Linked DNA regions of Daphnia pulex. The protein of the gene in region 1 purifies or fractionates together with the protein of each later gene. This does not show direct contact. Links are inferred from orthologs where the notes say so. Each region holds a gene or a part of one and is shown on either strand. Other genes may lie near its edges.

What was found. The genes of interacting proteins can lie anywhere in the genome.
Region 2: the proteins of akirin-2-like (region 1) and proteasome subunit alpha type-5-like purify together in Homo sapiens (affinity purification with mass spectrometry; 3 studies listed by BioGRID and IntAct, with this or other methods). This does not show direct contact. The link is inferred for Daphnia pulex from reciprocal best matches to the Homo sapiens genes AKIRIN2 and PSMA5.
Region 3: the proteins of akirin-2-like (region 1) and GTP-binding nuclear protein Ran purify together in Homo sapiens (affinity purification with mass spectrometry; 3 studies listed by BioGRID and IntAct, counting the BioPlex papers as one, with this or other methods). This does not show direct contact. The link is inferred for Daphnia pulex from reciprocal best matches to the Homo sapiens genes AKIRIN2 and RAN.

What each region holds. Positions count from the first base shown.
Region 1 is NC_060027.1:5,353,266-5,357,198, reverse strand, and holds akirin-2-like, read left to right. Parts: upstream 1-1,313; 5' UTR 1,314-1,618; coding exon 1,619-1,790; intron 1,791-1,854; coding exon 1,855-2,105; intron 2,106-2,386; coding exon 2,387-2,549; intron 2,550-2,615; coding exon 2,616-2,626; 3' UTR 2,627-3,307; downstream 3,308-3,933. Other genes in the region: dehydrodolichyl diphosphate synthase complex subunit nus1-like, read right to left, coding at 1-190, 248-379, 458-821; uncharacterized protein LOC124207045, read right to left, coding at 3,564-3,830, 3,915-3,933. UniProt on the Homo sapiens protein: Molecular adapter that acts as a bridge between a variety of multiprotein complexes, and which is involved in embryonic development, immunity, myogenesis and brain development.
Region 2 is NC_060026.1:13,770,773-13,774,078, forward strand, and holds proteasome subunit alpha type-5-like, read left to right. Parts: upstream 1-1,538; 5' UTR 1,539-1,653; intron 1,654-1,722; 5' UTR 1,723-1,740; coding exon 1,741-1,809; intron 1,810-1,881; coding exon 1,882-2,035; intron 2,036-2,100; coding exon 2,101-2,281; intron 2,282-2,345; coding exon 2,346-2,502; intron 2,503-2,561; coding exon 2,562-2,729; 3' UTR 2,730-2,795; downstream 2,796-3,306. Other genes in the region: vascular endothelial growth factor receptor 1-like, read left to right, coding at 1-128, 190-343, 424-597, 677-832, 924-1,141. UniProt on the Homo sapiens protein: Component of the 20S core proteasome complex involved in the proteolytic degradation of most intracellular proteins. This complex plays numerous essential roles within the cell by associating with different regulatory particles.
Region 3 is NC_060020.1:1,358,510-1,362,068, forward strand, and holds GTP-binding nuclear protein Ran, read left to right. Parts: upstream 1-1,566; 5' UTR 1,567-1,719; exon of another isoform or gene 1,720-1,776; intron 1,777-1,904; exon of another isoform or gene 1,905-2,002; intron 2,003-2,133; 5' UTR 2,134-2,146; coding exon 2,147-2,389; intron 2,390-2,447; coding exon 2,448-2,636; intron 2,637-2,695; coding exon 2,696-2,911; 3' UTR 2,912-3,048; downstream 3,049-3,559. Other genes in the region: uncharacterized protein LOC124192239, read left to right, coding at 1-735; NFATC2-interacting protein-like, read right to left, coding at 3,134-3,408. UniProt on the Homo sapiens protein: GTPase involved in nucleocytoplasmic transport, participating both to the import and the export from the nucleus of proteins and RNAs. Switches between a cytoplasmic GDP- and a nuclear GTP-bound state by nucleotide exchange and GTP hydrolysis.

The sequences.
Region 1 (3,933 bases):
GTAGTGTTAGACAGTAAGCTGCCAAACTGTAACATCAACTCTGGGTCTTTGGGGTAGAATTGATTCATGGTGTTTTCCACTACACCCTGATCAATTTGACAATAATTTAATTCACCCACTATTTGCCTTGTAACTTGGGCAAACATAGGTTTGCCATCATTTTGATTCATGATGAAAACATTGATAGAATCTTTAAAGAAAAAACATAATTAGAAAAATGAATTTCACTACTATACTATCCAATTACCCAAATTGTAGAATTCTTTTGTTACAAAGCCTTTATGAACAGCAACAGATTTGGATTTCAATCCATTGCGAAAATTGGCAGCAACACCTTTCAATTTGATTTTGATTTCATCATGACAGCTAGTCAGACAACCTAAAATTTTAACAGTTATGAATCAATCAAATTTGCTAGAAAAATAAGGTACTAATTAAACAGGTAATAAATAAATACCTTCATGATCATAGAGACTGATGCAATAGACACCCATACTAACAAACCACTCAACAATAGTTATTATTCTATCAATGTTTACATCCTTCTCAGTAAACAAGCAAGCAACATGAATGGGAAGTTTTTGAAGTAGTTTCAGGTCACTTCCAATAGTTTGAAGGAGAAGACGTTCATCTTTTATATTTGCACCTAATTTCACAGTCGTGGCATTCAGCAAAACATGGCAGTCTGCTGGCCAGAGGTAAGTTCGATCCTTAACAACTGGTTTGATACGATCAATGAGTTCACTAAACGCCACATGAATGTTGTGAATATATGTGATAATAAAATGAAGAATCACATAGAGCACATTAAGAACCCCCATGACCGATAGAATTTAACTAAATTAACTAAAAAAGGGTGACCACTTGTCACATGACATGCCGGTCTGCTGGATCTTTTGGCATGTCAAACAGTTTACATCGACGCCACTTTTTTAACACATGTCAAATAAAAATAGCAACACTTGAATTAATTGCCATAAATCACACAACTAATTATTAGCTCGATTCCAGGTATAATTTTCTCTTTTTTATCAAAACAGCACCTACAAGAAAACAAAAATTATGTTTTTACGGACGCGGACTTCAAACGTTTTTTCTCACAACAAATATTCTACTGAAAATTAATTGTCATTAGAATTTTACTTACTTGTTCTAATTTGTAAATTTAGAAGTGAACTTGCGATCTTGGTCATCTGAATAATAAAATGAACTGGAAAAATGAATTTTTATCGGCTTCGGTTGTCGAATGTCGACCGTCGACGTGGCTGGAATTGCCCTTAGGGGATTGAAGCTCTACATAAAACTGGCAATGCTGTTCACCACTCTCCCTAGGGCTAAAGCTACTTTTGTAACCAATAGAAAACCAAGAGAGCTGCAGTTGTCTTAATGGACGAAGCTGGGTAAATTTCTTCGAAGAATTATCCCATTTCATCCATCAGTCTATCATATATATTACGACGAATTTGTGTTCATTGGATTTCCAATTGCATCTGTTGTGAACTAGCATCTTTTGATAGCCATTCGTTTAACGCATCCTGTGTAATTCAGCTGACTATTTTCTGTTGCTTTTCAAGCATAGCATAGCAACTTGCCTAAGAAAGAAAGTCGTTGAATCAAAATGGCTTGTGTTACTTTGAAGCGTAGTTTGGAATTTGATCCTGTGCACAGTCCCGGTGGTCGTACACCGAAACGAAGGAGATGTATGCCAATTTGCATGCCTCCAACAACTCCACCAACAAAGTGCCATGAACCTTCTCCTTTTGGCGATGTCTCTTCGAAGCTTACACCAGGTATGTGAGATTTCATAACCAAGTCTTACCAGAATGATTTCTAACTAACGTTATTCTACTTTAGAGCAAATCTTGGCGAATGTTCGTGAGGAAGTTAAACGCTTTCAACGTCGTAAACAGCTTAATTTCAGTCAAAATCAATCTCAGCACATGAGCAGCCAGCATCAAGACAGTTTGATGTGTGAGAGCCCTACCAGTCCAGCATCTCCTGCCTCATGCCCTCGATCACCTTCGCCATTGATGGCCCTGGCTTCCTCCAATAATTTTGGTCAAAGCTGCTCAACTAAAGAGAAACCTTTGTTCACGTTTAAGCAGGTAGGAACAGTTTGTGATTCTCTAGTGTTACATGTTGGTAGTGCTGGTTTTCTTTGAGCTTGATGTTTCCAGTATCATGCGTCTTTGCTAGACTCAGCGTTCTGCTGTTGTCTAGCTTGGCCTCCTCCAGCACATGCCATAAATTAAAAATAGAGTATCATAGTAACAGGATGTGTCATGTACGGCATTCTGTCCTCCAATTCCTCAAACATATTTTCAAGAGATGAAGAAACAAGTGTTTTGTAGTTGAGATTTTGTAACATTCCCTTGTTGTTTTACAGGTGAGCCTCATTTGTGAAAGAATGTTAAAAGAGCGCGAAACAGAAATTCGCGAGGAGTATGATCGAGTATTGACACTTAAACTCGCCGAGCAATACGACGCATTTGTTAAGTTTACTCAGGACCAGCTACAGAAGCGTTTCGAGGCCAATTCGGCACCATCTTGTAAGATATACTTTTATTCTTTCTAAATTGTTTCTATCCTAACTGAATTTTTTCTTCTATTTACAGATTTGTCATAAGATTCAACAGGCGCATAAACTAAAGCTTATTTTTTAATAAATTCGTTTTTTTTGTTTTTTTTTTCTAATCGCAATTCACCACGGTTAATTGCGCAAAATTTCCTCGCTCCTAACTTTACATATTCCCCACGCGCTATGCACACGGGCATGTACGAGCGCGCGTAATGTTATCATCCGCTTATTTGTATATGTAAAGAGAAGGGGAAAAAATCCGCCGTCTGATCTTCAATGTGGTTTTGTCATACATTTGAAAATTGTCGTAGCCGTGTATTTCTTTGATGCTCCAAACGTTAGCAATAGAAAAAAAACATCCGATTAGTTAAGATTATCTCGTGAGGTGATGACATCGATGTTGCCAGTATATTGATATACCTTTTAACCCTGCGATGAGAACACTTCCGAGTCTCGAAAGTATCTGGATTGATGGTAGAGGAAACGTAGCAATCGAAGTGAAATGTGGATGAGTGCCAAGTTCTATCTTATATCCTCTGCATGGTAAAGCCCAAGGGGATTATGTCCACATTTACTACCTTTCCTATTTGGTCGGATGTCTTTCTAATCTGAATGAAATAACTTGGCGTTGGTATTTGTTTCGTTCCCTTTTTCTCCTATTTTGTTTTCAATTACAAGACTTTTGATTGCGCGGATCGAGGAAAAACAATACACTTGGCTACCTCTTAAGACGTTTGTTCGTTACAGCTCTTAAGCTGTTTATTATTGTAATTTAGTTTATGCTGTTTATTTAGAAATGTGTTAGGATAATAGAAAATTACGCTATACAATTAATTCCCATCATGTTGCGTGCAACTAGCCTAATATTTTATATCCCGGTATGACAGGGGATAAAGTTTTCATAGTTATCATGTTTTATTTGATTGTCAGACAAAAGATAGCAACGGAGTTTCAGTTGAATAAACACAATGAATTGGTTGGTTCTTTATTTTACCTGTATGGTATTCAAATTAAATTGCTCTTGAATTTGTTGGCAGAGTTGGTCCAATGCCTCCTCCAATGTGGCATTATCAAGTTTTGGAACACTGGGTAGCACTTTAGGAACAAGTCTGTTATATCTACGATTCAAAAACACTGGGTCTGATGTTGGTGGTTTTCTGAAAATCTGCGATGACTCCGTTGTTAGGTGTTTGTGGCGCTTCATGTTCCGAGACTCCTGGCGTTTAAGTAGGCGATTTTTCTTCAGCGAAATCTATCCCATGCGAATGAATAGGTAGATACGACGTTTACAAATAGATTATATAATTGTGTACAAGAAATTGTACTTTTAGTTTACCTTTTCTTCCTCAATTTCG
Region 2 (3,306 bases), on another chromosome or scaffold:
TTTTCATTGACGACCAACAAGGTGGCATGAAGAACAGCACCTTTATTTTTGAACACGGAAATTCTGGCCTTGTCCCGTGCAAGTCCACTCATCCTAATGTTACCGTCTCGCTCATCCGCAACTCTCGAGTAAACTAAAATTTTATTCGCAAGACAATATTATGTTAATATAATTATTCAACATTAATAGAATTTATTATCTGAACCCAATTCAAACTGGTTGATGGAATCGAAACGCGGATTGATACTTCATCAAGCGACGTTTGAAGACACTGGTGACTACCAGTGCATTGGAACAGTCAATAATATCAGCACGAAGATATTTTTTAAGATTTTCGTTGAAGGTATTTGTGTATTATAATTAAAGTCCGGTGGAATGTGCCTTAACCCTCATTTGAACTCACTAATTAAACCCCGAAAATAGGAATAGAATTGATAAGAGTTGACAACATTGCTGATCCATGGGAAGGAAACAATGTCACATTAATTTGTCGTGCCAACACCAATCCCGAATTTGCTTCGCCTCCCGAATGGTTTTTCAAGTCAAAATTCGACATGAGTACACTAAAACGAATTAATGAGACGGGCCCATCTGAAGGTAAAAAAACTTGATCACTTTTTCACAGTGTGAAGATTTTATTTTAACATTTTTTACTTTATCCAACATAAAATTAAAGGCATTAAAATCAGCTTAACTAATGACGAGTTGGGAGTTTACGAAAGTCGACTAGAACTTCTCAATGTTAACCGCCAAACTACTCACAGAGAATTTAAGTGCAACTCAAAAATCGATAACAAAACTGTATCGAAAGAAATTTCTTTTTTTATTACAGGTATATTTCCTTTTTAAAAATTTAATGCAACGTCCCATCGCGTTGATAAAAATGTGGACATTAATTAATTACATTTCCACATTTTTTTAAGGGCCTGATCACTCATGGATAATCTACGGACTAATACTTCCTATCGGTATTATTGTTCTTGTCATGATTTTTGTTGCAATCATCGTTGTCATCCGAAGGCGATATTGTGCGTCCTGTGACATTGAAGAATCCTCCTGTTGTGTTTGTCTACTCGGACTTTTGAACTGCTTACAGATGTGCACTTATTGCTGCCTTGCTGCATCCGACTTCAGCTCGTAGACATTCCTCATAAGGAACAGAAAATTTTTAATTTCTAAAACAATTTATGGTCTTCGTTTGCATTTTTTTAATGCACCGCCGCATTATTATGCGTATTGTTTTATAATTACCTCCTCCTTCTATCACCCCTTAGTAAATAATTAGTAATACATTTTGCCAAAAATTTAAACAGTTTCTTTTACTTGATTTTCCTCATTTTAATTACTTTTTAAAGTAGCAGACTAGCAGTAGTTGCGAGATGCTTAATTGTAACAACTGAACATTGTCATTGTAGATAGCACGAAAGGAGCGTGATCTATCCTTATACTACGCTTTATTTTGTATAAAAGATAAATGATGAGTAGATTAGATTTCTAATACAAAATATTCCATTGATTTTAAAATAAGGCGCGCAAGTTTGTTTCAATAATTGTTCAACAGATCTCGCTGTTTTTCGATGTAAAAACAACTGCCGCACGCCAGCCGTCCACCAGTTTCTGAAGTGACAAGTCGTTTTTCGAAACATAACTCAGGTTGGTTTGCAGTGGAGACAAGTTGAATCTTGCATTACATTCATTTATTTTATTTAAATTCTATTGCAGTTTTGCGTCAAAATCAGGATGTTCCTTACAAGATCCGAATATGACCGTGGTGTCAATACTTTTTCACCAGAAGGTCGTCTTTTCCAGGTAGCCCGGCATTTGCACTGAGAAATGTATTAAAACTATCTTCAAGTTGTAATTTTTGTCTGAAAAATGTAGGTTGAATATGCAATTGAAGCCATCAAACTAGGTTCTACTGCCATTGGAATTCAGACTTCAGAAGGAGTAGTGCTTGCTGTTGAAAAACGAATCACCTCACCCCTCATGGAACCAACAACAATTGAAAAAATTGTTGAAATTGATAAACATATTGGCAAGTATAGAATTGATTTGTATTGTTACATTTTTAATAAGAATTTTCAATTTTGTTAAAATTAGGATGTGCTGTTAGTGGTCTTATGGCAGATTCACGAACAATGGTAGATCGTGCTCGTGTTGAAGCCCAAAATCATTGGTTTACATATGATGAAAAGATGAGTGTTGAATCTGTAGCCCAGGCAGTTTCTAATTTAGCAATTCAGTTTGGAGATTCTGATGATGATGGAAATGCCATGTCTAGGTAAAATTTGGGAAATTGTTAAATGCTTGCTTTCTTATTAACAACCTTCACTGCAATTATTTAGACCTTTTGGTGTAGCCATTCTATTTGCTGGGATTGATGAGAAGGGCCCTCAGTTGTTCCACATGGATCCCTCAGGAACCTATGTTCAATATGATGCAAAAGCAATTGGATCAGGAAGTGAGGGTGCTCAGCAGTCACTCCAAGAGGCATATAACAAAGTAAGATAAATATTTCAATGGAAAAAATCAAAATCATCCATGTTTTTCTTTATATTTAGTCTATGACTCTTAAATCAGCAATGAAAGCTGCTTTGACTATCTTGAAGCAAGTCATGGAAGAGAAATTGAGCTCAACCAATGTTGAAGTTGCAGCCGTTACTCCCGACCAGCCTTTCCATATGTATTCAAAGGAGCAAGTAGAGGATGTCATAAAAGAAATTGCTTAGAATTAACTGATACTTCACGCACTTGTAAACTCAAGGTGGACAATAAAAAAACGTTTTTGAAGACTATTTGGGTACTTCTAATTACTAATAGATAATTTTTGTTAATCTTAAATTAAACTAGTGAGTGTAGTATGGAATAATTTGATTTGTTAAAATGTTCTGTTTAGTTTTTCAAAGTTATTTTACAAATTTAAAACATACTCGAAATTCTGGTTCTGCTTCTGCACCTGTGCGACGGATTTTGAGTAGAAAGCGAATTAAGAGCTCTCCTTTTAAGTTTTTATCGGCTAAGGCGTTGAGATATCTTCGTTAAAAATTCAACACTCAATCTTTAAGCAGCAAAAGCGCAGTTGAAATCGCATAAAGCATATTTCGCCATCCCTTCATTAGCACTTTAATAATTCGTCATATAAATCTTTTAAGGCTACTTATTTTTAAATGAGAGGAAACTCTATTCTTGATTATCTTAAATACCATTCGTGTGGATTCGTACAATCGTGAATCGTGAATTCATGAATTCGCGTGCGATTCTGCGCGGGCACGCTACAAATTAAACATCTGACATCGTTGCACGATG
Region 3 (3,559 bases), on another chromosome or scaffold:
TTCCTGGAACCTCAAGATGTCAAAGAAATGGATCAAGAAATGGAAATGGATCCATTATTCATCACCACTGTTGCACCAATTGCACCTCCATTTCTCGTTGCTCCCGTCCTTAACCCACCGTTAGCCGCTGGGAAAATAACTGCCAATCCCTTTCTTCTTTCCGATTTTCCCGAAACAACAACACCTCTTCAAGCAAAAAAACGATTGATCGAAACCAATGTAAGCCAATCTCCCAGAAAATTAACAAAAATGGCCCCGCATGTTATGCCTGTGAAAGTTGAATTACTTCAACACAATTCGCCGGTTTGGTTGGTGAAATCTGAATTCGAGGAATCCAGTGTCATTGATCCCGACGAGATTCGACTGCTTCCCTTCGCACCTTCACATTTGGAATCACCACAAGAAGCTACTACAAAAGTCCCATTGAGTCGTCCTTCTACATCTTCGGTACCAAAGTCAAAAGTTGACATAGACGTGGATGAAGAAGGTAATTTATTCGCCACCATTCGTCTGATTGCCCCATCGCCTTCCATCACATCAAACAAACTTAAGGCATCAAAGAATGTTAACTGCAAAAACAAGAGGACTAGTAATCACTTTGGGCACTCTGGAAAAAATCCATCATCAAGGTTAAGCACAAAAAAAGAAACAAGAGCCAAAAAAGAGGACCCATTTTCTGTCAAGAGTCTGATGGCAAAGTTCATTGAAGCTGCAAAAAATAAAAAAATCTCCTAACTTTGATAACTATATATGATAAAACTTGGAGTTCCATGTTTATTTCAGATTATTTTAGTTTATTTTTATGTGTGCATGATTAGTTCGCCAATGTGGAATGTGATGACTACTGAAACCCCCTATCCCCATATTCCCCTTTGTCTTGCGTTTTTTGTTTGGATCCTCGTTCAAGTAGTCAGTTTCGCGTTGAGTTACAAACGAACCGGTATCGCATCAAAATGTTCGTCATAGCTTTATCTCCCAAGATTTTATACACTGTGATGAAACCTTCCGAAAATTATTTTGTAATAGTTCATTGATATTTTGTTTGTAAAACAAAACTCGCCATTATTTTTTGTAACCCAGAAATTCATCGTATCAATAAATACAGATGCTTGTATGAATGATCGCCTCCGTTGTTATTTTTCTTCGAACGGTTGATTTTATAACATACAATGAAATAATGACTAACAAAAAAAACAGCAATCATAACTTTGACAGAAATATTCATCATGCTGCTACCACGTCTTTTAATGTCCTATTAATTAATTTATATACAGTGATGCTTATAGGAATTTCTTTCTTCTTTTAAAAGGTAATTTCATTTGAATTAAGTGCTACTATCCTTTTTATTAACACATTTAGCATTTTAATCTCACACAAAATAAATATATTGTTGATTAAAAAATTAAAAAACATCATCCCGTTAATAGGCCTGAATGAAATTCAACATTAATAAATTACATTCAAAGCTTTAGACAGGCTTTAGAGAAATAGAGAGCTACAGCCCTGCTACAGCCTACTTTCCATTTTCAAATTCCAACCGTCTTTTTTTCAAAGAAAAGGAAAATATTCCCGCCGTTTCTCCTAGTGAAATTTGGCAACATCTCGCTAGGAATTTTTTAGAGCCACCCATTTTCAGCCAGCCTTTACGCTACCAGAATTTTTAGAGACCAGTTTGGTATTAGAACCGCGCGATTGTGAACCTAAAGCTTAAAACCGCCGGTGAGTTAGATTTATCTTCGAATATTGTCCACATCCTTCATCTTTTCGTTGTTTTAAGTAAGCAGTAATGTTTCTTTTGCCAATCTCTTTTTAATTCGGCATGGAAAGTATTTTAGTCATCATAGTTATTTTATTCTGCATTTTTCAAGTTGTAACCTCTAACAGTCATCTTCCTCCATCAAAGACAACGCACTAAGCTAGTCAGTGGCGGTAAAACTGTTCTGTGGTAGTTGTTTGAAATAGTCCCTTTTTTCTCTTGACATTAAACATTGACAGTTAACTTGTAAGTGTTCACGAGTGTGTAAATTTTTAGAAAAATATATTTTGTTGTCGTTAGATTAAGTTCCAGTAAATTCTTGTTGAATGACGCAATCAAGTCTGATCGATTCACTTATCTTTTCTCATTATTTGTAGGATTTACAACAGAATGGCTGCCGAACCTGACATGCCCACTTTCAAGCTGGTCTTGGTTGGCGATGGTGGTACCGGAAAAACCACTTTCGTTAAGCGTCACTTGACTGGTGAATTTGAAAAGAAGTATGTGGCCACACTTGGTGTGGAAGTTCACCCTTTGGTTTTCCATACAAACCGTGGAGCCATCAGATTCAACGTGTGGGACACTGCTGGTCAGGAGAAGTTTGGAGGTCTCAGAGATGGATATTACATTCAGGTAAATGTCAGCATACTTGTATTCACATGGTCTCGACTGACTTTCATTTATCTTGCAGGGCCAATGTGCTATCATCATGTTTGATGTAACCTCTCGTGTCACCTACAAAAATGTTCCAAATTGGCACAGAGATTTGGTCCGAGTTTGTGAAAACATCCCAATTGTTCTTTGTGGCAACAAAGTTGACATTAAAGATCGTAAAGTCAAGGCCAAATCCATTGTCTTTCACAGAAAGAAGAATCTCCAGGTATGTTAATTGTGCTACTAAATTGTAAATGCAATTTGCTAAATTTTGGTTTCATTTAGTACTATGACATTAGTGCCAAGTCAAACTACAACTTTGAAAAGCCTTTCCTCTGGCTAGCACGTAAGCTAATTGGAGACCCTAACCTAGAGTTTGTTGCTATGCCTGCTCTGCAGCCACCTGAGGTGCAGATGGATCCTAATTGGCAGAAGCAAATTGAAGGTGAATTGGAGGAAGCTCAACACATTGCACTACCAGAAGATGATGAAGACTTGTAACATCAACATATTAGGATTTAAGCCACTACACCCTCCCACAAATTTTTCCATCTGTGTTTTCTGCCTTCTATCTTAACCAATTTTTATTTGCGAGGTATGAAAATACATTGTGCGTCATAATACAAAAGTCTTTCGAATTTTTGTTTATTAGTGCATAATTTATTTGCGCAAGGGAAAATATACAAAGTAGTAAAGTTAAGAAAAATGTAGTGAACAAATAAACTACTCTCTAATGAAAACATCGATACACTCGCCACCTTCAAATTCCAGACTAGACGGTGTGTCATCTTCTTCCAACATTTCGCCGTCAAATTTAAACTTCAATTTGGACAAATCAATCCCGGTTGCTTCCGCATACTTCTGCATCAAAACTGCCATAGGGTCTTCGGGGCGCATTGATATAACCACTTGTGCATTCCGGTTCTGACTCTGAACCTTTAACTCCAACAATGTTTCGTTGGAGCTGACGACAACTCCTTCTTTGCAGACTGAAGCATCTGTTAAAAAAAAGCACTGTTACAACGTTCGCTAATACCAAACCCAATCGTCCAAAGTTTTTACATTGGAAAACCAATTGACTTCATGCCAGGGTTGCTAAAACCGATTTATGACGCTGAAATGGACTGTAATTTGAATGACAAGTAACAT